Rhinolophus ferrumequinum: one gene and its partner. The protein of the gene in region 2 purifies or fractionates together with the protein of the main gene of each other region. This does not show direct contact. Links are inferred from orthologs where the notes say so. Each region holds a gene or a part of one and is shown on either strand. Other genes may lie near its edges.

Evidence for each region.
Region 1: the proteins of ZRANB1 (region 2) and STRN purify together in Homo sapiens (affinity purification with mass spectrometry; 4 studies listed by BioGRID and IntAct, with this or other methods). This does not show direct contact. The link is inferred for Rhinolophus ferrumequinum from reciprocal best matches to the Homo sapiens genes ZRANB1 and STRN.

What each region holds. Positions count from the first base shown.
Region 1 is NC_046296.1:46,312,703-46,320,105, forward strand, and holds the start of STRN (striatin), read left to right. Parts: upstream 1-4,319; 5' UTR 4,320-4,463; coding exon 4,464-4,697; intron 4,698-7,403. UniProt on the Homo sapiens protein: Calmodulin-binding scaffolding protein which is the center of the striatin-interacting phosphatase and kinase (STRIPAK) complexes.
Region 2 is NC_046299.1:6,009,356-6,016,373, reverse strand, and holds the start of ZRANB1 (ubiquitin thioesterase ZRANB1), read left to right. Parts: upstream 1-4,005; 5' UTR 4,006-4,394; intron 4,395-7,018. UniProt on the Homo sapiens protein: Ubiquitin thioesterase, which specifically hydrolyzes 'Lys-29'-linked and 'Lys-33'-linked diubiquitin. Also cleaves 'Lys-63'-linked chains, but with 40-fold less efficiency compared to 'Lys-29'-linked ones.

The sequences.
Region 1 (7,403 bases), on a different chromosome or scaffold from region 2:
GTCTGAGGCTTACTGGTTGGGCATACACATTAATGTTTTAAAAGATTATTTTAATTCTGCTGAATTAAAGTTCTGAATAAGGAATGAGAAAGAAAAAAGAATAATGGTTAAGCCCCTAGTATTTATGAATTTTACATGTGTGATTTCAGTCGTGTGAACTCTATTACAATAATAGCTATCACTTTTCACTGTATATTGTATGTGAGGCCCTATGCTAGGGAATTTACATTTCTTCTCTCATTTAATCTCATAGTGACTTTATAAGGTAAATATTATTCTCATATTAAAAATGAGAGACTTGCAGCAGAAAAAGGTTAAGCCATTTGTCCAAGATGTTCCCATTTGGAAAAGTGTAGAGTGGGGAAGATAATTTAGGTTTAACTAATTATAAATGTCATGTCCTTTCTAGCTATTTTTTCAGAATTTTTTTTTCAAATTTAAAAACATTTTGCTGTAGTGTTTGTGAATGCTCATCGAGAGAGTCTTCTGGGATTCCTGAAATGTTTCATGATCTGGGCGGTGGTTATATGTAAGGATTCATTCAGTTTGTGAACGTTCACTGAGGTGTTCACTTATCACTTGTGAGATTTTCTCTGTTATATGTGATAAAATGTTCTTTAAAAAGTACTTCATGCTGAATACAGAAAATGTGAAAGACATAAGCACAAAGGGGGAAAAATTCACAGGTCTTTTGTGGTTCCATATAAATTTTAGGTTTGTTCTATTTCTATGAAAAATGTCATTGGTATTTTGACAGGGATTACATTGAATCTGTAGATTGCTTTGGGTAATGTGCACATTTTAACAATATTAAGTCTCCAAATCCATGAGCATGGAGTATTTTTCCACTTATTTGTGTCTTCTTCAATTTCTTTCCGTAATATCTTATAGTTTTTGGTATACCACTCTTTCACCTTGGTTAAATTTACCTGTATTTTATTACTTTTGACGCAATTGCAAATGGGATTGTTTTCTTCATTTCTTTCTGATAGTTCATTGTTAGTGTACACAATGATAGTTCATTGCTAGTGTAAACACAACAGATTTTTGTGTATTCATTTTGTATCCTGCAAATTACTGAATTCATTTATTACTTCTAATAGTTTTTTGAAGGAATGTTTATGGTTTTTTGTTTATATCATATCATCTGCAAATAGGGACAGTTGTACTTCTTCCTTTCCAGCTTGGAGGACTTTCAATTCTTTTACTTTCCTAATTGCTCTGGCTAGGACTTCCAATACCATATTGAATAAAAGTGGCAACAATGGATATTCTTCTCTTGTTCCCGATCTTAGAGGAAAAGCTTTCAGCTTCTCACTGTAGGGAATGATGTTCATTGTGGGCTTGTTATATATGGCCTTCGTTATATTGAAGTGTTTCATTTATGCCCACTTTGTTATCATAAATCGATGTTGAATTTTGTCAAATGCTTCTTTTGCATCTATTAAGATGATCATGATTTTTATCCTTCATTTTGTTAATGTTACGTATCACATTGACTGATTTATTGATACTGAACCAGCCTTGCCTCCCTGGAATAAATCCCACTTAATAATGGTGTTTGATCCTTTTTTTTTTTTTTTTTTTAAAGATTTTATTGGGGAAGGAGAACAGGATTTTATTGGGGAACAGTGTGTATTTCCAGGACTTTTTCCAAGTCAAGTTGTTGTCCTTTCAATCTTAGTTGTGCAGGGCACAGCTCAGCTCCAGGTCCAGTTGCCGTTGCTAGTTGCAGGGGGCGCAGCCCACCATCCCTTGTGGGAGTCAAGGAATCGAACCTACAACCTTGTGGTTGAGAGCCCACTGGCCCATGTGGGAATTGAACCGTCAGCCTTCGGCATTAGGAGCACGGAGCTCCAACCGCCTGAGCCACCGGGCCGGCCCCCTGTTTGATCCTTTTAATGTATCGTTTTATTTGCTTTGCTAATAGTTTGTTGAGGATTTTTGCATCTGTGTTCATCAGGGATATTAGCCTAATATTCTTTTCTTGTGGTAACCTTAACTAGTATTGGAATCAGGGTAATGCTGCCCTTATAAAATGAGTTTGGAAAAGTTCCTTCCATTTCTATTTTTTGGAAGAGTTTGAGAATTACTGGTATTAATTCTTCTTTGGATGTTTGGTAGAATTCACCTGTGAAGCCATCTGGTCCTTGACTTTTGTTTGTTGGGAGGCATTTGATTACTGATTCAAGCTCTCTATTAGTTTTTGGTCTATTCAGCTTCTCTGTTTCTTCATGATTCTGTCTTGGTAGGTTGTATGTTTCTAGAAACTTATCCATTTCTTCTAGGTTGTACAATTTGACCTATAATTGTTCATAGTAGTCTCTTGATCCTTTCTATTTCTGTGGTAACAGTTGTAATATCTCCTTTCATTTCTGATTTTATTTGAGTTCTCTTTTTTTTCTTGGTGAGGCTAGCTAAAGGACTTATGGGTTCTTAAACCATTAAATTTAATTATGTTTACTAGTGTTAGGAATTTAAAGGAATCGTCAGATATGTATTCTATTAGAGAAAAACAACTTTTAACATTCAAAACTTCTAAGATTACTTAAATCCTTCAAATAAAAAAAATATACCATTGTTGCATTATTGCTCCCTTGATACTCTGATAGGTCTGATAAGTAAGAGAGAAAGCAGCATGTTAAAGGAAAGATCAATGAACTAGCAGTCAGGAATTCTGGTTTCTAGTTTTGGCTGTGCCACTTGCTCAAAGCCTGATTGTGGACAAGTCTCAACTTCTTTGGACTTCAGTTTCTTCAACTGTAAAATGAGAGGATTGGGCAGTATCTCAAAGGCCACTTACAGCCAAAATAATTTATGACACTGGTGATTTGGCCAGGCTTGGATCAAATTTTTATTACAATAAAGAATGAATAAAGCACAAACATTCAACAAGTGGGAGAACAAAACTTGCCATCTTGATTTGCAACTAGAGCAGATACAATGTGTTTCCTGTTCTTTCCACAAGTAGTCATGGAAAGGGAGGTGGGAAGAGGACAGGGACAGGGGCAGGATATCCTTCCCTGGCATGTCACTCACCAGCCTATATAATTTTTTCATGGCCACTGGGTCTGATATCCCAGAAGTCCATCCCACAAAACTAAAAAATTACAAATAAATTATTTTGGAGAGAGAATGAGTCCTTAATTTTATTTGCTATATTTTTTTTCAAGCGAGTTCCTTGCATTGGGTGAATTTATATAGTGACATAATTTCAGGGACTTCAGGGAAAGATAATATTTACAGAGAAACACCTTCAAGAACTTTAGTGTGCCTTTGGTAGGCTAATACTGTTGCTAGTTTGTAGGTGAACGGTGGACGAAACTGGAAACTGGACAAGTGAAAAGAGAGAAATGCCCGGAGACCTAAAACATTTCTAGGGAGCAGAAAGGGACTTTGTTCTTTCGAGTAGTATAGCTTTAAGTCACTGTGAGATTGATTATATACTTGCCAACCTCCCTTTGATGACAGGAACTGTGTCACTTATCTTTATATCCCTAGCGACAGATATAACCGACAATTAAGTATTTGTTGAATTGACTTGAGCAAAAACTGCGCGGGCATAAGGTAGGGAAAAAGAGACCAGAATAACATCACCTTGGATATCTGAAACTTTTTAAAAGATTTACTGCAAGATTAACTACAAAGGGAAAGGGACTTCAACGGAGCACTTTTTCAGATGAGATGTCAACCAACCAGAACAGGAAAGAGAGGTCATGAGAGTTCCTTGAAAACTGATCAGGCAACAGGTTTGAACCCCCAACTGAAAAAGAGGAGCGACAGCGATACGCAGATTGGCAGAACTGAGGAGTGTCTAGGGTCAGAGAAAAACCAAAGTCAGAGCCCAAGGGAGAGGCTGAAGAAACTCCGTCCACGGGCCGGCCCAGAGAAGCTTGCTTTGAGCTTGTTTCTTAACAGAACTATCAGCAAGCCCTAAAAGATGTGCAGTACGGGCTGATATTTCAGCCTGATAACTTCCGTGTGTGTGTGTGTGTGTTGGCCTAACTTCCGTGTGTGCGTGTGTGTGCCTGTGTGTGCAACAAGGAGCGCCACCCGTGAACTTCCGCGTGCGACGGACCCCGAAGTGTCGCCCTGCCGCGCCCCGTCCTGCCCCACCTGTGAGGAAACCTGCACTCGCGGAGGGGCGGGTCCCCACCGCCGCGGGCAGGGGCGGGGCCGCGGCGCGTCGGAGCCTTCCGCAGCCCCACAGGCCGCCTCAGCCACGCTCGCCGTCGCCCCGCCCCGCGACTACATTTCCCAGCAGGCCGCAGGGCGCCCGCGCGCCGCAGTTGACCCATTTCCCGGCCCGTCCCGGGCTCGGCCGGCCCCCGCGCCCAGGCGGCTGCTCCCTGCTGACTGGGGTGTGGGCGGGGAGCGGCGGAGGGAGGAGGAGGCGCTGCTGGCCGCCGCCGTTGCCTCCGCTGCTGGGCGCCTGGGCAGCACCCCAGGTTTCCGCGGCCGCCATGGACGAGCAAGCGGGTCCCGGAGTCTTCTTCAGCAACAACCATCCGGGCGCCGGCGGTGCCAAGGGTCTCGGGCCTCTGGCGGAGGCTGCAGCGGCCGGCGACGGGGCGGCTGCGGCAGGGGCGGCCCGAGCCCAGTACAGCTTACCCGGGATCCTGCATTTCCTCCAGCATGAGTGGGCCCGCTTCGAGGTGGAGAGAGCCCAGTGGGAGGTGGAGCGGGCGGAGCTGCAGGTAAAGACCCTCCCGGCCTGGCCCTTTTTATCCCGCCTCTTTGCTCTCTTCCGCCCCGCCCCGGACCCTTTCCCCTCCCCCCTCTGCCCTCGCTGGTCCACTCCCCTTTGCTCCTGCCCATCCTACCCAGAACTGTCCCCTTCCCCCTTCACCTTTGCTTTAGGCTGACCCCACTTCCTTGACTCGGGTTCCCATTCCCGCCCTGACGCGTTGTTTACCCTCCCCGCTCCTTTTCTTCTACTCCTTCCTTCTCCTAACTCTCTCATTTCAACTCTTGCCATCCCTCATTTTAGGTCTTCTCTCTGAGTATACTAATTGGGCTGACAGTAGTTTTGAAAGATGTCGAGCAAATCATCCTGTCCCAGTGAGTCCCATCTTAGGTCTAGAGACGTTCCCCGCCGTAGGTATTGGCAGTTGGCTCCTCTCTGAGAGGAAGGTGATCAAAGAAGACATCAGAAGTTGTGTCTGTGAGGCCTTGACTTAGGCAAGAAGCTGACGTAGGGCAGAAGTGTAACTAGGAATATCAGCTCCCTTCTTACATATGTGAGTGTTTTTTCTCTTTCCCTCTCCCTCTCCCTGCTGCCACTTTTCCTTTAGGTATTTCAGATTCGTGGATTTTAAAATGAAGAACCTAGATAATCGCAATCAGATGATGGTTCAGAGATGGTTTCCTGTTCTTAGAATCAAAAACTTCCCAAGGATTAATTTTATGTTCAGTGTTTTGTGAAATTGACGTTCACTTCAAAAGGAACTAAAAGGGGCTTTAAAGTTGGTTACATTTCCTTGTATAATCTGCAAGGTAAAAGTATATCCAGGGAGGACCTATTGTGGGCTCTTAGAAGAATGAAAGTGAGGCTGATACTTTACGGGCCATTCTGAATTGGTAAATAGGTTTCAGTGGCTGTTCTTACAACTTCCAAGCCATGCACCAATTTCACAGGGAACCTAACTATGCGTAGCTGTGCCTTTCTGTTTTACTGGCTAATCCTGTATGCTGATGAAATCTGAATATACGTTGTTTTGGTTGGTGAAACACTTGTAGTTAAAATGCTACCCAGTGTTTGTTACTCTTTTTTTGGTAACATGTATTTTCCTTGGCACTTAAAAAAATGAAAAGGAGAAATCTGTTAAATAGAATCTGCTGGAACAGGATGCTTTGATACAGTGCAAGTGGCAATGGAAAGAGCAAGGGGACAGGTTATAGTAGACAGGGTTATAGTATGGACTGTGCTTGCTGCTAGCTCTGTGACCTTGAGGAAATCCTTTAACCTCTCTGAACTTCAGTTTCTTCATTCAGTTGCCATAGTGGCAACTGCTTTGAGAAAGATAATTCAGGATACAGGAATAAAGTGTGATAGGGGCAGCTATTTTAGAGGGGGTGGTCAGGGAAGGCCTCTGGGAGGAGTGGAAGGAAGTGAAGAAGTGACCCACAATTTCTAAGATTCCTTCTGATTCCTTTAGTTCTGCAGTTGTATGTTTATATTTGGTGGCTTTTTCATCCCTACTATTATGTTGCTTTTGTATCTGGTCTTTTGATAATTTGTAATTTTTCTTGTAGTGAATCTGACCGTGTCAGTATAGTAACCAGCAGACTTAAATGCTTCATTCAAATATTGGTAATTCACCTTTGTTAGAAGTGCATTCCATAAATGAACTTGTGGATTTCAGACTTAAAGGAAGTGTTAAAGGCAGGTGTTAATTTTAACATTGTTCAGTTGTTGAACACACACACACCACTTACGGGGTTATTTATGGCAAATGTTAAACTTAAGGTAGGTTTCCCATTGGTACTCATCATATTAAGGACACTACATTTCTACAGTATTTTTTGGTTTTGGGTTTGTGCTCAAATTAAGCATCCACAGAGGAACTTTAAAAAATACATCCTATTTTCCAAACAGAGCAAGTATTATGTCTTTTAGAGGGGGAGAGAGTTTGCAGAAATCTATGGTTTTGATCCCCGTATTAGCATTATTGAAACTATATTTTAAAAATAATTTCTTTACATTGACATCGTTAAATTTGAACATATTCCTTCATTTTTCTTTTGCGATTGGAATTTTCCTGGAAAAACAATAGGAAGTAAGAGTTGAATGAGTGATGATGAAATTTGGATCAGTTGGTGTCCTTTTTTTAAATTTAAAATCTCTTCTCAAGTCATTAACATCAAAGTCAACAAAAATACCTTTAAGATTAAGTCTAATGTGTCCCTTCAGGAACCTGTCAGTCCTGCTTTTTCAGGTTGCCAGGTCAGAATTGTGAAAGACAATCCACGCTCTCAGCTATCTACCTGGTCTGCCTTCATCACTTCCTCCTTCAGATCTTGGGAATAAGGAACTGGCCACATTATACCAAAACTTATTTGTCATTTCTTCCCCTTTGCCCATCTTAGTTAATAAGACTCTCTTTTTACTTTTCATAATCCCCCTCCTCCCTAACCACCACCATTGCAGGTGAGAGTAGGTGGTCAAAGAATGGTCAAGATTATTGCTGAGGTTTATATTTGTGAAAAAACTTGGAGATGGGATACATAAAATTCGAGAGAATTTTCTGTGTGTGCTACAATGGGCTAGATGACCTCAAAGAAACATGCAGTCTAGTTGGAGTGATAGAACAAACAAAATGCATAAGAATCGGAGTATTTATTATTTGGGGGGTTTAAATTTTCTTAGACTAGCACAAGAGAGCAGCTAGCAGTGAGTGGGG
Region 2 (7,018 bases):
CTCCATCACCTGTCTTTCCCATCAGACTCTGTCTGAGCTTTATTTTCCACATCTTCCTTTGCTCTTATTTTTTATAAATTTTATTGGGAACATTGGGGGACAGTGTGTTTCTCCAGGGCCCATCAGCTCCAAGTAGTTGTCCTTCAGTCTAGTTGTGGAGGGCACAGCTCAGCTCCAAGTCCAGTTGCCATTTACAATCTTTAATTGCAGGGGGCGCAGCCCAGTATCCTGTGCGGGAATTGAACCGGCAACCTTGTTGAGAGCTCTGCGCTCTAACCAACTGAGCCATCCGACTGCTCCTCTGGAAGCTCAGTGGCAGCTTGTTGTCTTCAATCTAGTTGTGGAGGGCGCAGATCACTGGCCCACGTGGGAATCGAGTTGGCAACCCTGTTGTTCAGAGCTTGTGCTCTGAACAACTGAGCCATCTGGCCGCCCCTCTTTGCTCTTATTTTTGAGGAAGAAAGGGCCCTCATGCTTGCCAAGACAAATCACTGTGTGCTGGGTGTCCTCCCTTTTGGATTTCAATCTTTTTCCCCCCTCTCCACCTTCTCTTCTGTTTACAAAAGTGTTCAGATATGCCCATTCTTAAAAAAACAAACAAACAAACAAAAACAAAAAATACCTTTCCCTCATTCTTGTCACCCCCTGTGTCTATTCTTGTATCTCCTGCCTCCTTTCCTTGCCGGATGTCTTGGACTGGTAGTCTGTAATCACCGCTTCATTGCCCACACAGGTCTTCAGCTTTTGAAATCTGGCTTTTCTCCCCACCATCCTACTGAGAACTGTTCTCTAGAAGGTCTCTTGTTTGTAAAACCCAGTGACTTTTTTTCTGTTCTGATTTCTGAGGCTGTAGAATCTGACAGTGTTTATTACCATGTTCTTTAGGCTCACCACTCCCTGGGCTTCCAGAACACCTTTTTTATCTCCTCTCTTTTTGACAATTGTTTTCTCCTCCTTAGGTAGCTTTTCTTTTTCTTTCCCGCTCCTGTGGCTTCAATGGTAACCTCTATGTAAAACTCCCTGAAGTTTATCTCCAGTTCCAGACTATCAAATTTCAGACCAGCATTTCCCTTGCTTGCTGCACATTTCCTCCTGAGCCCAGGATAGCCACACACCTGATCCAGTAGTCAGTATCTTCTCTTATCTAGTTCCTCTTTTGGTTTTCCCATTGTTAATCACACCACTATCATTCAGGGTTCTCTGACTTTTGAGTCTTTCTTCGGCCCCAGATTCAGACACTGGCAAACTCAGAATATTCTACTGTCACCTTATTTCACTACTGTCCTCTCCTTTCCTTTCCCACAGCTACTTTGGTTTTAGGTTTTGTCTCTTTTAATGGGTTTCTCTGTCCCTGTTTCTAATTCTACCCTAGTTTGTCTCACAGACATTCTAGGTTAAGGTATATCTCTTGCACTTTCCTGCTCAAAACCTAGTAATATTTTTTAGCTCTACTTGTAATGAATTAAGTACAGATCCACAATTTGGCATTCAAGACCTACGCAATAAGGCAGAAAAAAAATAAAATGGAATTATATCTTATACAAGTAGTTTGGGAAACACTTGAAATAAAAGCCAAAACAAATTAATTGTCAATGTAATTATACTGTCCTTACAATTTAGTACAAGGGTTCTAAGAAAAAGAAATTAAAAAAAAAAAACAAACTATTTTCCCAAGTGAAATATTTCTCAGAACTCAAATATTTCTCAGAAACATGTATAAGGAGAATGACAATTTAATCTCTGCGCTAAATAGCACAAATCAGTTCCTTAACTGACAACGCTATCTGCTGTACTTGTTGACATATTTTTAACTCAAATATGGTGCAATGGAAACAAGATTTGGGAAATCAAGAGCTTTGTTTTCTAATTCCAAACCTAGATGATCTGGCTTTTGATAAGTCATTTAAAATCTCTAGGCATTAGTTTCCACATTTGTAAACTCGGGGGTGGGACTCTGTCAGTTCTTGGCTGCATATTAGTCACCTGGGGAATGTGTTTCAAGCATAGCCAGGCCCAGGATCTCTTGGGGATTGTTTCAGTAGGTCTGGGGTGGGGCCCAGATATGGGTATTTTGAAAAAAGCTCCTCTGCTAATTCTAATGTGTAGCCATGGCCGAGAACCACTGGACCTGTATCAAGTGTCTTCAGCTTTAACAGAGTCATTTTGGGATTTGCCCTTCCTTTCAATTACAAGATAATTTTCATTTGAATTGACTTAGCACATTCTACCTCATGTTATAATTATGGTTATTTTTGTCTTGCCCTGTTTCCTCGGCTGCAGGTTCCTCAAACACAGAATATCTTACTCATCTGTGTGTGTTTCTTGTTCCTTGGCACATGGTACTTACTTTAGGTTTGTTAAATTGAATGAAGAGTTAATAAGCCTTATTCAAATAATATCCCCTTCCCTTAACAAAATAAACTGCAACTGAAACTAAACAAAAACACCTAATTCTACAGTTCTTGTTAATTTGTGGGTGAGATGCTTTGTAGCTGAGGTTTAGGAAGGGGAAGCTGAGGTGCTCAGAAGCTCTGAAAATACTTTCAAAGTGAAATGTTGGTTGAACCATGGTTCTTACGTAATAACGTGGGTGTTTCGTTTTATCTACAATTGTGTTATGTGTCTGAGAATGTGTACGAAGTTTTGTAGGCAAATGACTGTTGCAGTTTAAACTGTTGCAGTTTAAAATAAATAAACAATTCATTGAGGAGTCCTTGAGCAAATAATAACATTGCTCCGGGAAGATGGGGATTATTGAAAATCTATCACAGGAATGGCTGTGAGGATGAAATATACCGGTGATTATGGAAGAGGTGGCTGGTGAGAGAAAGCAGTATAAGGTATTATTCTTCAGTGCCCGTAGGGAAGCTCTACACTCTTGTGCCATATTTATGCAAAGAGACTCAGACTAGTACCATGAATAGTTTTACTTACAGTCTCCCTCCAAATTTTAAAAATCCAGTTAAAGTGAGTTACACATTCTTTCTATTTAAATTGAGGGGTCCAGCACAACTGCTAAATGCCCTATGAGAGCACTATAATTCTTCAATAGATAACTTTTAAAGAGGATTAGAAGTTTTAAAGAGTTGCTGTTTTATGGTCTTTCAAATTCTTGAAATAAAATTTGAAGTATGGAAAATGCAAGGCAAAGCTCTCCGGCTGGAAAAATTAACACACTTCTGGGGTTTTTAACAAATGGCTAAATGACTTAAGACTCTTTGACTGTATTTACAGAAATAAAGGAAATGCACAAAATACATCACCATTTAACATATTATCTTTATAACTTGGGCTCTGGGAACTCTCCCTGCAGTATTTTTTCCATGGCTGTAATTTATTCTCTGCCTTAAATTTACATAAAATGTAACCATCTCCCGTTACAGAAAAGACAACCAGGAGAAAATTGAGTTTACCGAAAAGCAGAGCTAGAAGTAGAAAAGAAAGAGCTTTTCTTTTAAAAAATAATTATTTTGAGAGAATTGGCATATCACTCCATGGCTTTTCATCATGCATATACGTACGTACACGTGTAATATATGTTATAAATACACATCCACACCAACTCGAGGGTAAAAAACGGACATAAAAAACTACCACAATCAACTGAAACATTTATCTTCCCTGCTGCCTTATAAAGAGATTGAATCTATAAGAAAAGCTGAAGCAGAATCTGCCATAAGTGGCCCCTTGGGAGGCGAGACTCGGGGGTTGGTTTATTAGTCTGGCGCGTCTGTTGCAGAGGAGGCAAAGCGAGTCGGACCGCCGCGCGAGAACGCCCTCCGGGCCGCGCCGTGCGCGTTCCTCCAGCCCGTGCACGCAGGGCCGCCCTGTCACCTCCCAGCGTCCCCCGCAGGCGGCCGAGGGTCCACAGCCCAGGATCGCCGCCGCCTCACAATCAGGGCCGGGCGCCGGCCTGACGTCACCTTTCCGCGGCCCGCCTACTGCTCCGGGAAAGAAGCGGCCGCCCATTGGCTGCGCCGCTGGCGGCCTCCGGGCCAATGATAGGGCGGCGAGCGGTGGAGTCCGGCCTTGACGTTGTGCTGCTCGCTGTGGAGTTTATTTGGCTCCAGAGCCCCTCACCGCCGCCATTAGGAGCCCGCAGCGCCCGAGGACGCCCCCTTCCTCTGCTCCCCCTCCCCCTCGGGGCCCCCTCGCCTCCGCGCCTGCTCTCTGCCCCTCTGCCCCGGTCTCCGGCAGTCGGGAGCCGTGCGCGGCCCACGGAGACCATGTCCTGACTGAGGGGGGAGGGCGGAGGCGGCACGGAGGGAGGCGGAGAGGGGCCCGGCTCGGCTCTTCGCCGCGGGCTGCTCGGGGAGTCGCCGCTGCCGCCGGACGCCGAGCATCGGACTGGGAGGAGGAGCAGGAGCTGGAGGAGGAGCCGCCGCCACCGCCAGGTAATCGGGCCCGGGTGGGCGCCTCGCCGTAGGCCCCTGGCGGCCCCCATGGCGGCCTGCCGGGCCCCTCGCTCCTGGTGGCGCCCGGGTGTCCTGGGCCGCCCCCTCGCGACCCCCGGGGCGGTGTCGTAGGCTAGAGGAGGCCAGGGCCGGGAAGGGGCCACGATCTGCTACCGCCGTGCTTTCATCTTGGGCTTTCCCAGTGCGGGTGCGGGAACAGGCCCCAGGCTGTGGGAGGGTGGGTCCGCCCGGCTTGTTTACCGACCATGGATCTCCTGCGGCTGGACTCCCTGCCTGCCCTGCCACCTCTCTTCCGCCAGATTCTCCCCCTCCCCCATCTTTTCCTGCCACCTACGGGGGGAGGGGGCGTGAGTGGGGTTTCGCTCCCACTCTGTAGCAGGCCCTAGAATACTTGGGTCCATCGCCACAAGTTGGTGCTGGTCTCCAAACTTGTATTTCGGTCTCTTGGCCGGTTCCTCCCCTCCCCTCCCGTGGTAGCCTCAGTTGCTGCCATTTCTGTCTTAAGAAAATAAAGGTGTGTGGGGTGGGGGACGGGTGGGCTGGAGGGGCTGCAACTAGTGCGAAGATTGACGACCGTCTCGCTCCCAATAATGATTGTTCCGTACAAGTACCTGTTATTTTCTCTTCTCTACCGTGGCTTGATGTGTGGGTCGTTTCCCAGACAAAAGGACTGTAATGAATACTTGCATTAAGCACAAGGGACAGGCAGTTTAGGTTCAGCCTGGAAGTTTGAACCGGCCCTTGATCTGCGAGATACACTGGTGTTTTGAAACTGTCTTGTTGAGAATTTTGAAATTTCAGTCAGTTGATTTCCCTTTTCCATAACTTGGTAGACTATCAGGTCACACGCCGTCCCCTCTACCCAATATTTTGGTCTGTCTGCTCAAAGTAAAATCGATGGTGTCAGTAAATTTAATGTACAAAACTATCGTTTTAGGAACACAATCGAAGAGAAATCTTTAGCTCTTGGATATGTTATATAATGAGTGGTTCTTCTGTTAGTGATCTCTTTTTAGCTGACTTCTTTATCACTTGGGCGACCCTAAGGGTACCCCTGTTTGGATCAAACATGGATGACTCAGTGTGCAAACTATAAGGCAGGGGGAACCATAAGGAATTTTGATCTTGGCTTATGCCAGGGGCCTTGGGAAAGTCACCTAAACTGTGAAAAATAAAGCTGGATCTCTTCCTGATTATTATTATTATTATTATCAATTATATGAGGTAATTATAAAGAAATGGAGACCCCTGTTCCCCACTGATTTTTGGATCTTATGACAATATATGCAGTCACCTTGTACTAAAATTTCATAACATTGTTTTTATTGGGCTATTATGGAGACTAAGAGGATAGTAATGAGACACTTTAATCTTTGGGGAGGATATTATTTGACTGTCAGGGATTTCTGTTTCTGTTGATGTTTCAACACCTTTTATCACTGGGAGCATTGGGACACCCATTTATTTACTCTCAAAATGTGCTTGGGTTAGTATGACGTCATTCCTGATGGTAAATTTTAAGCTTATGGCCTTGATCCAGCTCTGTACACTGATAAGGGTTATGGCATACACATTTAAAAGTCTGAGGATTAATATAGATTTGGAATTCACAATCTAGTTGTACAATATTTGAGGTAAATTGCCCCCCCCCCCCGTGATTGATACAGTGAGAGCTGTTCAACATGCTTTATACTTACATTGCTTTTATAATAAATGGAAACTTTAAGTGGGAGTTGCAAAAGTAGACCACTGTAACTTTGTATTTAACTTGGTTCACTGTTACTTTTTGAGGACTGCTGCTCATGTCCCTCGTCCCCCAATAATAAGTTCTTGTACTTGGGCTTTGAACATGTTTTCTCTCACTGATGTGGCGTTTCGTTTGGAATATTTGTGCTCTGCTTGGGCTTTGGTAAATAAGATCGTGCACATTTTAACACTCTCACATCCTCACATCACAACATAAAAACTTGCAGAACACTGCTTATTACATGCAAAGTTGAAGTTCCTTGGTGTGGTGTTCAAGTTTGTCTGTAAGCTGCCCCGATCCAGTCTTCAGACTCAACTCTTATTTCTTCCCTTGTGCATCCTTAGTTTTAGCCAAACTAACTTGTTTGTTGTTCCTGTGAAGTGCCTCCTTTTGGCCTTTTTTTACGCCATTCTTTCTGTTTGAAACCCTCTTCCGCTTGTTTTCATGGATATTCTTTACTCTGGGCCCAGTTGATTCCTGTCTCTTTAGAAGCCTTTTTGACTACTTGAACCAACCCCAGTGGATCCATTCACTGCTCGCTCGTGTGGGACTCTTTTGTCTTTTGTTGTTTTTGGTTTTTCCTTAGCAGATGCTACCCTGGATTTCAGTTTCTCTCTTTATATCTTTATTCTGCTTCCCAATTCAGGTTTTAAGACCTCTGAGAAATGATATGAACCCTAAATCCTGTATCTATGGAGACCATATATTCAGTACTGAAAGTATGCATATGCGGTCTGACAAAGTATTTTTGGTTATAGAGGTATTATAGGATGTGCAGTTTGTACTGTTCTAAGTATTGGAGTTTCTGGGATTTTGTTGCTTTAGGACAAAATATTTGAAATTATGGCTCTCTAAC